Linked DNA regions of Saccharomyces cerevisiae S288C. The protein of the gene in region 1 interacts with the protein of each later gene in a biochemical or structural test. Each region holds a gene or a part of one and is shown in the gene's direction. Other genes may lie near its edges. The genes, in order: RAD53, SLD3 and DBF4.

Evidence for each region.
Region 2: of the proteins of RAD53 (region 1) and SLD3, one has a biochemical effect on the other in vitro, tested with the Saccharomyces cerevisiae proteins (4 studies listed by BioGRID).
Region 3: the proteins of RAD53 (region 1) and DBF4 form a complex in vitro, tested with the Saccharomyces cerevisiae proteins (6 studies listed by BioGRID, with this or other methods).

What each region holds. Positions count from the first base shown.
Region 1 is NC_001148.4:262,000-267,035, reverse strand, and holds the start of RAD53 (serine/threonine/tyrosine protein kinase RAD53), read left to right. Parts: upstream 1-2,843; coding exon 2,844-5,036. Other genes in the region: mRNA splicing protein PRP46, read left to right, coding at 1-856; peptidylprolyl isomerase RRD2, read right to left, coding at 932-2,008; YPL152W-A (uncharacterized protein), read right to left, coding at 2,336-2,434. UniProt on the Saccharomyces cerevisiae protein: Controls S-phase checkpoint as well as G1 and G2 DNA damage checkpoints. Phosphorylates proteins on serine, threonine, and tyrosine. Prevents entry into anaphase and mitotic exit after DNA damage via regulation of the Polo kinase CDC5.
Region 2 is NC_001139.9:293,324-298,359, forward strand, and holds SLD3 (Sld3p), read left to right. Parts: upstream 1-2,608; coding exon 2,609-4,615; downstream 4,616-5,036. Other genes in the region: YGL114W (uncharacterized protein), read left to right, coding at 137-2,314; TATA-binding protein-associated factor TAF6, read right to left, coding at 4,855-5,036. UniProt on the Saccharomyces cerevisiae protein: Required for loading and maintenance of stable association of CDC45 with chromatin during initiation and elongation of DNA replication. Also involved in temporal regulation of origin firing. Required for the association of PSF1 with origins.
Region 3 is NC_001136.10:559,026-564,061, reverse strand, and holds the start of DBF4 (protein serine/threonine kinase activating protein DBF4), read left to right. Parts: upstream 1-3,436; coding exon 3,437-5,036. Other genes in the region: PST1 (Pst1p), read right to left, coding at 1-535; SCF E2 ubiquitin-protein ligase catalytic subunit CDC34, read left to right, coding at 1,735-2,622. UniProt on the Saccharomyces cerevisiae protein: Regulatory subunit of the CDC7-DBF4 kinase, also called DBF4-dependent kinase (DDK), which is involved in cell cycle regulation of premitotic and premeiotic chromosome replication and in chromosome segregation.

The sequences.
Region 1 (5,036 bases):
GGATCTTGCAACAGGAAAATTAAAAACTACCTTAGCAGGGCATGTAATGACAGTGAGAGACGTTGCTGTGTCAGATCGACATCCTTATTTATTTTCTGTTAGTGAAGATAAGACGGTCAAATGCTGGGACCTAGAGAAAAACCAAATTATTAGAGATTACTATGGACATTTATCGGGGGTTCGTACGGTGAGCATACATCCAACGCTGGATCTCATAGCTACCGCAGGCCGAGATAGCGTTATCAAACTCTGGGATATGAGAACCAGAATACCTGTTATTACACTAGTTGGGCATAAGGGTCCAATCAATCAAGTACAGTGTACTCCAGTAGACCCTCAAGTGGTGAGTTCATCGACTGATGCTACGGTAAGGTTATGGGATGTAGTTGCTGGGAAAACAATGAAAGTTCTAACACATCATAAGAGGTCTGTGAGAGCTACAGCGTTGCATCCTAAGGAGTTTTCGGTGGCTTCTGCGTGTACTGATGACATCAGATCATGGGGATTAGCAGAGGGGTCTTTACTCACCAATTTTGAGTCTGAAAAGACAGGCATAATCAATACTTTAAGCATTAATCAAGATGATGTATTATTCGCTGGCGGTGACAATGGTGTGCTTTCCTTTTATGATTATAAGTCTGGTCACAAATACCAATCGTTGGCCACGAGAGAAATGGTAGGCTCTCTGGAAGGTGAACGGAGTGTTCTTTGTAGCACTTTCGATAAAACAGGTTTAAGATTAATCACTGGAGAAGCAGACAAAAGCATAAAGATTTGGAAACAGGATGAGACGGCTACAAAAGAGTCAGAACCGGGGCTAGCGTGGAACCCCAACTTAAGCGCCAAAAGATTTTAGTGGGAGTAGATGGAAAAAGTACGTACCCTGTATACGTGTATATACAATGAGATAGCATCTATAAATGGACTTTTCCTAATCAAAAGGTATTGGTTTATGATGTTTTTTATTCATCTCAGTAGCCGCAATAGCGCTCGGTAACTTTATACCACAGCAGTCTCCCCAAGTAGTATGAACATGTCCTTCAAAATTGCACTCATCATCCTTATCAGTCCCATCATGTATGTGGCCTCTTGGTGGAGATACACCATCCGGACAAGGCAAAAACTCGCTAAAGTAAAAATGTTGCATGATGGGCAATTTACTAAGGACTTCGGCTTTATACATTTTTATCATCCCTTCAGCAACTTTTGACCAAGTCTTTACACCGCTGATGTCATCTAGCATAGGAGAATGCCATCTCAAGGAGGCGGATGACTTGACCTTATTAATAAAAGCGATACAACCAAAATATAAGTACCGATGAGCGAACATTTCTACGAGCTCATTATTGTGAATTGATATCGGCTTTAAGTGCTTGTGGGTGGTTAATTGGAAGGCACCAAATAGAAATGGAAGGAAATGATAATCATCTAATCCCCAAACACCATGAGAGCCCGCAGGCTCAAGCCAATATTTAGTTTCTAGTATCCTCATTATTTTAAGGTATTCTATAAAAACTTTCAGCACGAGGTTAGTTGAATCGTTTGAAAGATTGAATATTCCATAACTATAGAGTCCATAAAGTAAACACATGAAATTTAATTCATGACCTGAACCATAATCAATTCTTCTTTTATTTCCCCATGATTCATCTAGATAAATCGATAATTGTTCCAACTGCTCATCTGTGAGAGAGGGAAATTCGGAACGTAAGATCTTCCTGGAATTCCGTGAAACTTCGTCATAAAAGTCCCTAAACTCAACCTTACCAAATCTCGAGCTATCTGCATCCTTTATTACTGGGTGCTTCTGAGTGATATCTTTTATTTGCGAAAGCAAGTTCATCATACTGTTTATTGACTCCGATATTGGTTCTTTGTACTGGGAATTCTCATGTCCTTTGACAGATTCAGCCAAATCTATAATAAATTTAGTGAAATGAGCTCTTGTTGGGGATTCTTCCCATAGTTTCATATCGTCTGGAGTCAATAGTCTCTTTTCTGGCAACATCTTTTTCTAAATATTTATATTGTTCTTTACGGATTGTTGTTTATGGACTGTTCTTTCTGCACAGGCGACTAACATAAAGTACCTCTCTCTTGTCATTGATATCCCTTTTGTTCTATCACATCCGTTAGGATTTTATTCTGTGCTTACTCACGTGAAAGAGAGGGAAGAGTGTAAAAGTTACCCGAAAATCTATTATGGCGGCTATTGTAGTACGTCCAAAACAACGTATTTCAATGTAAATTCAAAGCAAACACTGAGAAAAAACAAAAACTTACTTATTGGTTCGCTCAGCACCTACCTAAATGGTACTTTTAGAATGATACTGTATTATCTACCGTGGTATCGGCAACTATAGGACGGAGATAAAGCATGCCAAAGTAATTCTTCCTTTATTAGATGAGATTTCAGCGTGAGGTGAACCATCATTTGTTTGGTTGGTGCATTAATAGCCTGCTTCCTTTTAATTAAGCCGGAAAGTGTTTGTCACAGATGTCAATGAAACGTGCATCTATTAACATATTTATTTTCATTTCGAGGGTGAGGTGGTGTGGACGCGTTGATACGGCAACGGGAGTGACGCGTAAAATTGGCAGAAAAATCATCACCGTGGGTAGACTTGGAAATGAAAACATTTATAGAATAAAGGTACAGGTTGAGAAGATAAAGGGTACCAAAGTTACCATTTTGAAATCTCTGATCAAGAAAAGGTAAGAAAGCAGAAAAGGACGGTAGAGATTATTGGAAGACAAACTAATTTTGTATATGCATTCGATTTTCTTAAGCTTTAAAAGAGAGAATAGTGAGAAAAGATAGTGTTACACAACATCAACTAAAAATGGAAAATATTACACAACCCACACAGCAATCCACGCAGGCTACTCAAAGGTTTTTGATTGAGAAGTTTTCTCAAGAACAGATCGGCGAAAACATTGTGTGCAGGGTCATTTGTACCACGGGTCAAATTCCCATCCGAGATTTGTCAGCTGATATTTCACAAGTGCTTAAGGAAAAACGATCCATAAAGAAAGTTTGGACATTTGGTAGAAACCCAGCCTGTGACTATCATTTAGGAAACATTTCAAGACTGTCAAATAAGCATTTCCAAATACTACTAGGAGAAGACGGTAACCTTTTATTGAATGACATTTCCACTAATGGGACCTGGTTAAATGGGCAAAAAGTCGAGAAGAACAGCAATCAGTTACTGTCTCAAGGTGATGAAATAACCGTTGGTGTAGGCGTGGAATCAGATATTTTATCTCTGGTCATTTTCATAAACGACAAATTTAAGCAGTGCCTCGAGCAGAACAAAGTTGATCGCATAAGATCTAACCTGAAAAATACCTCTAAAATAGCTTCTCCTGGTCTTACATCATCTACTGCATCATCAATGGTGGCCAACAAGACTGGTATTTTTAAGGATTTTTCGATTATTGACGAAGTGGTGGGCCAGGGTGCATTTGCCACAGTAAAGAAAGCCATTGAAAGAACTACTGGGAAAACATTCGCGGTGAAGATTATAAGTAAACGCAAAGTAATAGGCAATATGGATGGTGTGACAAGAGAGTTAGAAGTATTGCAAAAGCTCAATCATCCAAGGATAGTACGATTGAAAGGATTTTATGAAGATACTGAGAGTTATTATATGGTGATGGAGTTCGTTTCTGGTGGTGACTTAATGGATTTTGTTGCTGCTCATGGTGCGGTTGGAGAAGATGCTGGGAGGGAGATATCCAGGCAGATACTCACAGCAATAAAATACATTCACTCTATGGGCATCAGCCATCGTGACCTAAAGCCCGATAATATTCTTATTGAACAAGACGATCCTGTATTGGTAAAGATAACCGACTTTGGTCTGGCAAAAGTACAAGGAAATGGGTCTTTTATGAAAACCTTCTGTGGCACTTTGGCATATGTGGCACCTGAAGTCATCAGAGGTAAAGATACATCCGTATCTCCTGATGAATACGAAGAAAGGAATGAGTACTCTTCGTTAGTGGATATGTGGTCAATGGGATGTCTTGTGTATGTTATCCTAACGGGCCACTTACCTTTTAGTGGTAGCACACAGGACCAATTATATAAACAGATTGGAAGAGGCTCATATCATGAAGGGCCCCTCAAAGATTTCCGGATATCTGAAGAAGCAAGAGATTTCATAGATTCATTGTTACAGGTGGATCCAAATAATAGGTCGACAGCTGCAAAAGCCTTGAATCATCCCTGGATCAAGATGAGTCCATTGGGCTCACAATCATATGGTGATTTTTCACAAATATCCTTATCACAATCGTTGTCGCAGCAGAAATTATTAGAAAATATGGACGATGCTCAATACGAATTTGTCAAAGCGCAAAGGAAATTACAAATGGAGCAACAACTTCAAGAACAGGATCAGGAAGACCAAGATGGAAAAATTCAAGGATTTAAAATACCCGCACACGCCCCTATTCGATATACACAGCCCAAAAGCATTGAAGCAGAAACTAGAGAACAAAAACTTTTACATTCCAATAATACTGAGAATGTCAAGAGCTCAAAGAAAAAGGGTAATGGTAGGTTTTTAACTTTAAAACCATTGCCTGACAGCATTATTCAAGAAAGCCTGGAGATTCAGCAAGGTGTGAATCCATTTTTCATTGGTAGATCCGAGGATTGCAATTGTAAAATTGAAGACAATAGGTTGTCTCGAGTTCATTGCTTCATTTTCAAAAAGAGGCATGCTGTAGGCAAAAGCATGTATGAATCTCCGGCACAAGGTTTAGATGATATTTGGTATTGCCACACCGGAACTAACGTGAGCTATTTAAATAATAACCGCATGATACAGGGTACGAAATTCCTTTTACAAGACGGAGATGAAATCAAGATCATTTGGGATAAAAACAATAAATTTGTCATTGGCTTTAAAGTGGAAATTAACGATACTACAGGTCTGTTTAACGAGGGATTAGGTATGTTACAAGAACAAAGAGTAGTACTTAAGCAAACAGCCGAAGAAAAAGATTTGGTGAAAAAGTTAACC
Region 2 (5,036 bases), on another chromosome or scaffold:
CGTAGAAGGTATTTTTCGTGAGATCTATCTCAAGGCATCATTTTTTTTATTTTCGCACCAAGATAGGAAGAAAAAGAGTCACAGTATAGAGGACTAACCGTTAAAGATTCTAAATCGGTACTGTAAATACTTTGAAATGCCTCAATCTACTCCAAGTCAAGAAGTACAGCGTGTACCATGGGATAATAAACCTGCTTTGAAGCAGATAACACTCCGAGCAACCATAGCAGGTATCGCTATAGGGTCTCTGGTGCTAACATCAAATTTTCAATTTGGCCTGCAAACCGGTTGGGTTTCCATGATGTCCCTGCCATCGGCATTGTTAGCTTGTGCTTTCTTTAAAAATATCTGGCCATTAATATTTCCGAACGACAGGCCTTTCAGTGACGTTGAAAATGTATACGTACAAAGTATGGCAGTAGCTGTCGGAACAGGCCCATTAGCCTTTGGGTTTGTCGGCGTCATACCTGCCATCGAGAAGTTCCTTACTAACGACGAAAGTGGTGGATTAAGGGAACAAGGACAGTCCTTCACTTTTAGAGAATTGTTAATATGGTCCACAGCCCTAGCATTCTTCGGTATTTTTTTTGCAGTTCCTCTAAGAAAGCAAGTAATTGTTAGAGAGAAACTTCCCTTCCCCAGTGGTAGCGCCACGGCCACTTTAATTTCAGTGCTAAATGGAACTGAGATTTTACAAGAGGTTTCTAAGTCAGAGTTATTGGAAATGAGGCAGAGGAGATTGAATGAATGCCCTGAAGTGCTACAACCCAACAGAGATCCAGAGGAGGCGGATTATTTAATGAACTCTTCTCATAGCGAACTTGGTGATTATACGGCAACTAGCCAAGATGGAAGTTCTATCCTTTCTACTGGCTCTGAGAACTACAGAGCGAATATTATTATTTTATTGAAAACTTTTGTTGTTTCTTCGCTTTACACCATGGTGTCATATTTTGTACCGGTAATACGGTCTATTCCAGTCTTCGGAAAATACCTCTCGAACAATTATCTCTGGAATTTTCAGCCGTCGCCTGCGTATATAGGCCAAGGGATAATAATGGGTCTTCCAACAGTATCGTATATGCTTATCGGGTGCTTCTTAGGCTGGGGTGTGTTAGCACCATTGGCGAGATACAAAAGATGGGTACCACCAGATGCTGATGTCCACGACTGGGAGGAGGGAGTGCAAGGATGGATTCTTTGGTCGTCGCTTTCAATAATGGTTGCTGACAGTGTAGTCGCTTTTATTGTTGTGACAGTGAAGTCCATTGTGAAATTTATTCTTATAGATGACAAAGCTGCTTTACTGAACAACATAATCGATGATACATTTCAATCTATGTTACTGGAGGAGGAACGCGCCATTAATAGCAGCAGAAGAAATACATATGTTGATGGAAGGCAGGACACCGTAAGATTAGTGAGTAGAGATAACGAAATAGAAGTAGATTCGAAGCATTTGGTTCGCTATACCACCGTTATCAGTGGATGTCTAGTCTCCTCGATAATATGCATTGTTTCCATAATATATTTGTTTGGGATACAAGTAATTCCCCTATATGCTATTATCACTGCTTTGATACTTGCGTTGTTTCTATCTATTCTCGGTATTCGAGCACTTGGAGAGACCGATCTGAATCCTGTGAGCGGCATTGGTAAGATCTCTCAATTGATTTTTGCCTTTATCATACCAAGGGATAGACCTGGATCAGTGTTAATGAACGTGGTATCGGGAGGTATTGCAGAAGCCTCTGCCCAACAGGCGGGCGATTTAATGCAGGATTTGAAAACGGGGCACCTCCTCGGCGCCTCCCCAAGAGCTCAGTTCTGTGCCCAATTGATAGGGGCCTGTTGGTCAATTATTTTGTCTAGCTTCATGTATTTGTGCTACAATAAAGTTTATTCAATTCCGAGTGAGCAATTCAGGATACCGACAGCAGTAGTGTGGATAGATTGTGCAAGACTAGTAACTGGTAAAGGGCTCCCTGATAAGGCCTTGGAGTGCTCCATGATTCTCGGAGTCATATTTGCCGTTTTATCATTAATCAGAAACACTTATAGAGATTACGGATACGGGTGGATATTATATATTCCGTCTGGTGTAGCAGTCGGTGTTGGTATATTTAATTCTCCCAGTTTTACAATTGCAAGATTCATCGGCGGGTGGGCTTCGCATTTTTGGTTGAAGAATCATAGGGGTGACTTAAATGCGAAAACAAAAATGATTGTATTCAGTTCGGGGTTGGTCTTAGGTGAAGGTATCTTTAGCGTAATAAACATGCTCTTCATCTGCTTAAATGTCCCTCACTATTAGGTATATAATATTTTACTAATAAAGAATTTACAAAGTTTACAAATTTTAAATTATTTACTCATCACATAATTCGATGTCTTAGATTTCCCTGTATATATATTTCTAGGTGACAAAAATCCTAGGCAAAATGTTATATTATACGCGACCTTGAAATATCGGCTATCTTGGTGTACAACATGGTCCATTTAAGAAAAATAAAAAAAAGTGATGGGCACTGTTAAAACAGGCAGAAGCCTCATTCATAACTGCTGAAGGGTTAAGATCGTATAGGTAGGAACGATCTGACCTCTCATAATGGAAACATGGGAAGTCATAGCATCGGTAAAAGAAGCAACAAAAGGCCTTGACTTGAGCTTAGATCATCCACTTATTATTAAATCCGAGGACGTGCCCAGTAACATTCTCCAATTACTGCAACAGAAGAATCGACGTCAATTGAAACACATCTGCATGAAATCAAGAAAAGAGTATTTTCTACTAGAGGAATATGGGCCAGGATTTTGGGTTAAGTGGCCGTACAATTATTTCAATGGTTACAGCTTACCAGAAAGGCGTACGGAAGTTGTAACGACAGTTGAAAGAGAAAGAGCTAAGCGTGAAACGTTAAAAACATGGGACGAATTGAAATTTAAAGAGCTTCTTCATTTATGGTCAGAAGAACCCAAGGGCTCGTGTAAGCTTGAGAAGGACAAAGACCTTAAACTGGATATGAATCCCCCAGATATGAAAGGCGAATCAAAAATTAATGACTACTATTCAGACCCTAAAGAGTACATAGAAAGTAAGTATTATGATGCTCTTTTTTCCATACATACGCCTCTCGCATATTTCGTCAAGTCAAATTTAGTAAGGCTCAAAAATACCTGCCGAACCAAGTACGGAAGTGACAGTTACAAAATAGCCTATCAAGCCATGCTGCAAAAATTTCTTCTCTCAATTGTACAATTCAAAGATAGACATGATAACAGGCTTTTATTAGAGCCCTTTTCTAGTCCCATAGCAGATGAAAAAAGGAAGAACTGTCTCACAAAATTTGTTATCCAAGATGAAAACAAAAACAGCTCAACCATTGCTGATTTATGTGTTGTATTAAAATCCCGCGAAATAAAGCTACAAATATTATTGCTATTAGAGATAATAGGATTGAACGATTTAGATTGGAATTTTAGAGATTTTGAGAAAAAGTATAAATTAAAATTGAAGAAAAGATCACTTAATTTGACAAAAAAGGGATTAGTTCGTCGAAGATCGAAGAAAAAAACCAGCGAAAAAGACAAAGGAATCGAGAGAATAACAACATCTTTGGATTATTGTGAACAGTTAGACTTGTACTTAGATAGAGCATGCATCTTGGACATTCTACTATCAAGTGAAACGCCCAACCCAGATGCCATAGAAGCATCAAATGGAACAATACAAGAGCATAAAAAAAATATCCTAGACAAAAGCAAAGAAGCCTCATTGGTTGGGTTCATAAATTATGTTCTTATTCCATATTTCAACAAAAAGGTACCACACGCCGTTGAATTTATAATTCAAAAGCTCAAGGGACCAAGCATGAGACCAAAGAGAGCCCTGAAAAAGGTCAACGATAGCACAAATGTATCGTCACCTAATACTGTAGAAACGTATAACAGGTTATCCACGAGTCAACGTGCCTCTCGCTCTTCAATCATTAATTCCGTCCCATCTTCACCCGCATTGAGAAGGGTGGACGCTAATTTGTTCAGCAGAAAATCTATAGCTTCGCCCACCCCTGAACTTTTGAATTCTAGAACGAACTCTAACTTGAATGAATTTCTCGAAAGTGAAACTAGAAGCTTAAAGCGCCCTTCACAATTGGGAAGGACGAAGTCTGATCTAACGATGAATCATTTACAAAAACGGCAGTTTTCTGTCTCTGACTTAAGCACAACAAGAGTACCGAATTCATCAACTATCACACTCAAAACGCCTTTCTCGCACTCAACTATTAATGCATACAAAACTATGAATAACTCTTTTCGCAGAGTTGGGAAACGTAAAGATATCAATGAAACGATACGCCTACATGAACGTGTAGACTCTGAGGAAAACGTACAAGTTCAAGCCACTCCTGCTGTGAAAAAAAGAACTGTGACACCTAATAAAAAGGCGCAACTTCAAAGCATCATTGAATCGCCGCTAAATTTCAAGGATGATGATACGCATGAAGGCAGAAAAAATACCTCCAATATTACCTCTACTCCCACTAATAAGCCCCCGGAAAATAGCTCAAAAAGGAGAGTAAGAAGACGTTTATTTGCTCCAGAATCCACATAGAATAAGAAACTGCGAGACCACCTTCGCTGGCAAGTAGTTGACCCAACTCCATCTTTGTAGCTTTTCTTGGACGAAAAGGGAATAAAATAAAACTAAGCTACAACAATTTCGCACTTCGGGGGCCTTTGAGTATACAATTAAATAACTCATCATGCATATATATATATATACATACAATGGCGTATGTAAAAACTGTTATATAACATTACCGTTGTACTATTAGTATAAACCGATTCTCACTATTCGCCAAAAAATATCGCACTAATTAATTCTTTTGCGTCGTCTCTTTTCAAAATGTGAAATCCAATAGTGACACCACACCTCTCTAGCAATTTTTCCTTATCCTCATCCGTAACTTTTTCACCTTTACCCTCGTACAAATCTGGTAAATCCTTTTTTAGAACTAACAATGCACTAATTA
Region 3 (5,036 bases), on another chromosome or scaffold:
TGATCGAGGTTAATTTCTTATTGTTATTGACGTTGAACACGTTAACTTTTTTCAAGGCTGAGAATCCATCGACAGATTGTAACGAAGTGTCGGAAATATAAATGTTGTTAGCAGATTTGATATTTGAAGTAAAACTGGAGATGGCGGGTAGAGTAATCAGTTTTATACTATCAACGCTCTGTAAAGACCCAAATGAAGCAGAAGTCAAGATTGTCAAACTCTGTAGGTTCAAAGAATCTGTGATGGACTCCAAGGAATCAGCAGCGAATGAGGTTAGATTTGTAGCGTTAAATATAGTTAGAGACCCGTTGATTTCTTTAACATTAGCCAAAGCACCAGTCTTCAAACCACCACCAATAGTTAAGTTCCCGACTAACGTATCACAGCGGCTATATTTATCTAAGTCACTCTGAGCTGTGGCCGTGGCATGTGAGCTTATGGTACAGGAAGAGGGTATGCTGGAAGAAGAGGAAGTAGCAGCCAAAGCTGACGTTATTAAGAGCGCAGTTGAAGCGATAAGTGAATGTAATTGCATGATATTTTTATAGCGAGCTTTTTTTTTTTGCTTCTCTCTTGGATTAGATCTATTGCAGCGTGATGTACTGTAAGATTCTATTGAACTATACAGAGCAAGAGTTGAATAGAGAAGAATATGCACGCTATTTATATGTTTATCTGTAGAGCATATATGGGTTTGCTCGTAAGGAACCTTGAGCGGTTGAATGATATTACTTAGAGTTAATGCTATGAAAACCCAGCCCAATCATTCAACATTACTCTTTGTAGTAATAAACTCTGATCAAAGTCCGAATCAGGGCAGTGTGCCTACGCTATTTTTAGAGACTCGTAACACTATTAAAACTAAAAGCCCTCTCTACTAATTAAGATATCCCAGCTTTGTGGTCTTTTTTGGGTTTCTTTGGTTTTTTTCCCTCAAGGATACCGAAAATGCGGGCCTTAATTTAAAGCCTTTTCCGTAAAGAGAAAACAAAAATGAGTTGGCGGGTCAACGGGGAGTGCTATTTTAAACGACTCAAATACATTTGAAAAAGAAAAAAATAGCCGCCCAGCTCCCACGTGCATATCACGTGCATTATAACCCGGTTTTCAGATAATAGAAATCCGCTCACTCTATTTATTTAAACGCTTTCTTTCTTTTTTTTTCTATTTATGGGGCCCACCCGCGGAAGAAAAGAAAAGCGGGCAATTACTAATGCGGGTTCAGTCCAAAGGAGATTTGATGTGGCAATAGCATCATAATGATGGAACCTACGTTAAGTGCGTTAAATAGGGAGAACTGTTTGTCACTTTATTCTTGTATACCGCTCTTAGTAATGATTTGTTTATGCTCTTTATCGTAACCTGCGCTTACAAAACTAACCACGTGCAGCATCGTCTTGTGTTTGTCCGTCCCTTGGGGTTCTTCGGATTTTCTATCTCCTCTTTTTTTTTCCTTACACTTTCATTTTGGGAAAAATTCGATTCTTTTTCTTTGATTTTTTTTTGGTTTCCTCTTGAATCTGTAAAGAACAAGAGCAGAAACTTAAAGTTAAGAAGGACAATAAAGAGCATACTATTACAAAATAATAGGAGCTTTGCGTTTGTTATTTCAGTCGAATAGTACTCCTTTATACTCTCTGCCGCTGACATCTTTGTCCTTTACTGTTTAGGACTTATAGCGACTGTTATTTTTTAGTACACCAAACAAGGAAAAAAGAACAATACAACGTAAATATGAGTAGTCGCAAAAGCACCGCTTCTAGCTTACTGTTACGGCAATATAGAGAACTTACTGATCCTAAGAAAGCTATTCCCTCATTTCATATAGAACTAGAGGATGATTCAAATATTTTCACTTGGAACATAGGTGTTATGGTGCTAAATGAGGATTCCATTTATCATGGAGGGTTTTTCAAAGCTCAAATGAGATTTCCGGAAGACTTTCCCTTTTCTCCACCACAGTTTCGATTTACGCCGGCTATCTACCATCCAAACGTTTACAGGGATGGCAGGCTTTGTATTTCTATTTTACATCAAAGTGGGGATCCTATGACCGACGAACCTGATGCTGAAACGTGGTCCCCCGTGCAGACCGTGGAAAGTGTGTTGATCTCTATAGTATCTCTATTAGAGGACCCCAATATCAACTCGCCAGCAAATGTCGATGCCGCTGTTGATTACAGAAAGAACCCTGAACAATACAAGCAAAGAGTCAAAATGGAAGTGGAAAGATCGAAACAAGATATCCCTAAAGGTTTCATAATGCCCACTTCTGAATCGGCGTACATATCTCAAAGTAAACTAGATGAACCAGAATCGAATAAGGATATGGCGGATAATTTTTGGTATGATAGTGATTTGGACGACGATGAGAACGGGTCCGTCATTTTACAAGACGACGACTACGACGATGGAAACAACCATATCCCCTTTGAAGATGATGACGTTTACAACTATAACGACAACGACGACGATGACGAAAGAATCGAATTCGAAGATGATGACGATGATGACGACGATAGTATAGATAACGACAGCGTCATGGATAGGAAACAACCCCACAAGGCTGAAGATGAAAGTGAAGATGTGGAGGATGTAGAAAGAGTTTCAAAGAAAATATAAAAAAGAACAGTAAGAAAGAAGACAAAATTTAACAAAACATATTCAGCTCAAACGCAAAACATGAATCAATTTATACATACGCGATACGTTGTCGATAAAGCACTTTACATTTTTCCCTATGATAATCTGAGATTGACAGGGGAAGAAGAAAATAACTAAGTGTCGAAGAAAAATTTAGAAAAATTAATTCATCATCCCATTTTACTTCTCGCAGTACACCGTACGAAAGAAGAAGGTAAAGAATTGAGAAAAAAAGTGTATATCATTACATTACTTTACACCACCTTATAACCACAAACGTGTATATTAAGAAAGTTTTTTAAAAAGAAAGAAATAAGAAAACCAAATCCGTCCCACTAATAGTTTCTAAGTTACTGTACTTTTTTTTTTTGAATATATATCACCATACATATGTATATAAATATATATTTGTGTGTGTGTGTTTATATCTATATCTCTTTGCATCTAATTCCTCATTACCTTTTTTATTTTTATTTTCTTATCGGTTCTTGGCTAACGCCTAAGTTTCTTTTAATATTTTACCCGCAGTAAGTAAATGGTTTTTTTTTTGCAAACGCGTCTTAGGTCGATCTTTGCGAAAAAGAAAAAAATAAAGAAATAACGATAATAATAACGGTAATGGCTCAGGCCAAGAAAAACAAAAATCAAGTTGCATAGTCTATACTCAGCCAGGTGTAGATTCCTTTAGATCTGAATTCGCTTGCAGGGCTAGTTATCTTCAGAATTCAAGGTTTGAATCTGAAAGGCATTTGGAATTCTGCTTTTGGTTCATATTTAGAAAAGAAAGAAGAAAATGGTTTCTCCAACGAAAATGATAATAAGGTCTCCGTTAAAGGAAACAGATACCAACTTGAAACATAATAATGGAATTGCCGCATCAACAACAGCAGCGGGCCACTTGAATGTGTTTTCTAACGACAATAATTGCAACAATAACAATACCACTGAATCCTTTCCGAAGAAAAGATCTCTTGAGCGCCTCGAGCTCCAACAGCAGCAGCATTTGCATGAAAAGAAAAGGGCCAGAATAGAAAGGGCCAGGTCTATTGAAGGCGCTGTCCAAGTCAGCAAAGGTACGGGTCTGAAAAATGTCGAGCCAAGGGTTACGCCTAAGGAATTGCTGGAATGGCAAACAAATTGGAAAAAGATAATGAAAAGAGATTCTCGCATTTACTTTGACATTACTGATGATGTAGAGATGAATACATATAATAAGTCCAAGATGGACAAACGCAGAGATTTATTGAAAAGAGGGTTTCTTACATTGGGTGCGCAAATAACTCAATTTTTTGACACTACTGTCACAATAGTTATCACAAGAAGGTCTGTTGAGAACATATATTTACTAAAAGATACCGACATTTTATCGAGAGCTAAAAAAAACTACATGAAAGTTTGGAGTTACGAAAAGGCTGCCAGATTTCTGAAAAATCTTGATGTTGATTTGGATCATTTGAGCAAGACTAAATCTGCTTCTTTAGCTGCGCCCACATTGTCCAATCTTCTACACAATGAAAAATTATATGGACCAACGGATAGAGACCCCAGAACTAAAAGAGACGATATTCACTACTTTAAATATCCTCATGTATACCTTTATGACCTATGGCAAACTTGGGCCCCCATAATAACTTTGGAATGGAAACCTCAAGAACTAACAAACTTAGACGAACTACCTTACCCAATATTGAAAATAGGTTCATTCGGAAGATGCCCTTTTATAGGGGATAGGAATTATGACGAAAGTTCTTATAAGCGCGTAGTAAAGAGATACTCGAGAGACAAAGCAAACAAAAAATATGCACTGCAACTTCGTGCTCTATTTCAATATCATGCCGACACCTTACTGAATACGTCATCAGTTAATGATCAAACGAAAAACCTAATATTCATACCTCACACATGCAACGATTCTACCAAGAGCTTCAAAAAATGGATGCAAGAAAAGGCAAAAAATTTTGAGAAGACCGAGTTAAAGAAGACGGATGATAGCGCAGTTCAAGATGTTCGTAATGAACATGCTGACCAAACCGATGAAAAAAATAGTATATTATTAAATGAAACTGAAACCAAAGAGCCTCCGTTGAAAGAAGAAAAAGAAAATAAACAATCTATAGCAGAAGAATCGAATAAGTACCCACAGCGAAAAGAGCTGGCTGCCACACCAAAACTAAACCATCCAGTATTAGCTACTTTTGCAAGGCAAGAAACTGAAGAAGTGCCGGATGATTTGTGCACTTTGAAAACAAAGTCACGTCAGGCATTTGAAATCAAAGCAAGTGGTGCACATCAATCTAATGATGTGGCAACCTCTTTTGGCAATGGTTTGGGCCCAACAAGAGCAAGCGTCATGAGTAAGAACATGAAGTCATTAAGTAGACTAATGGTTGATA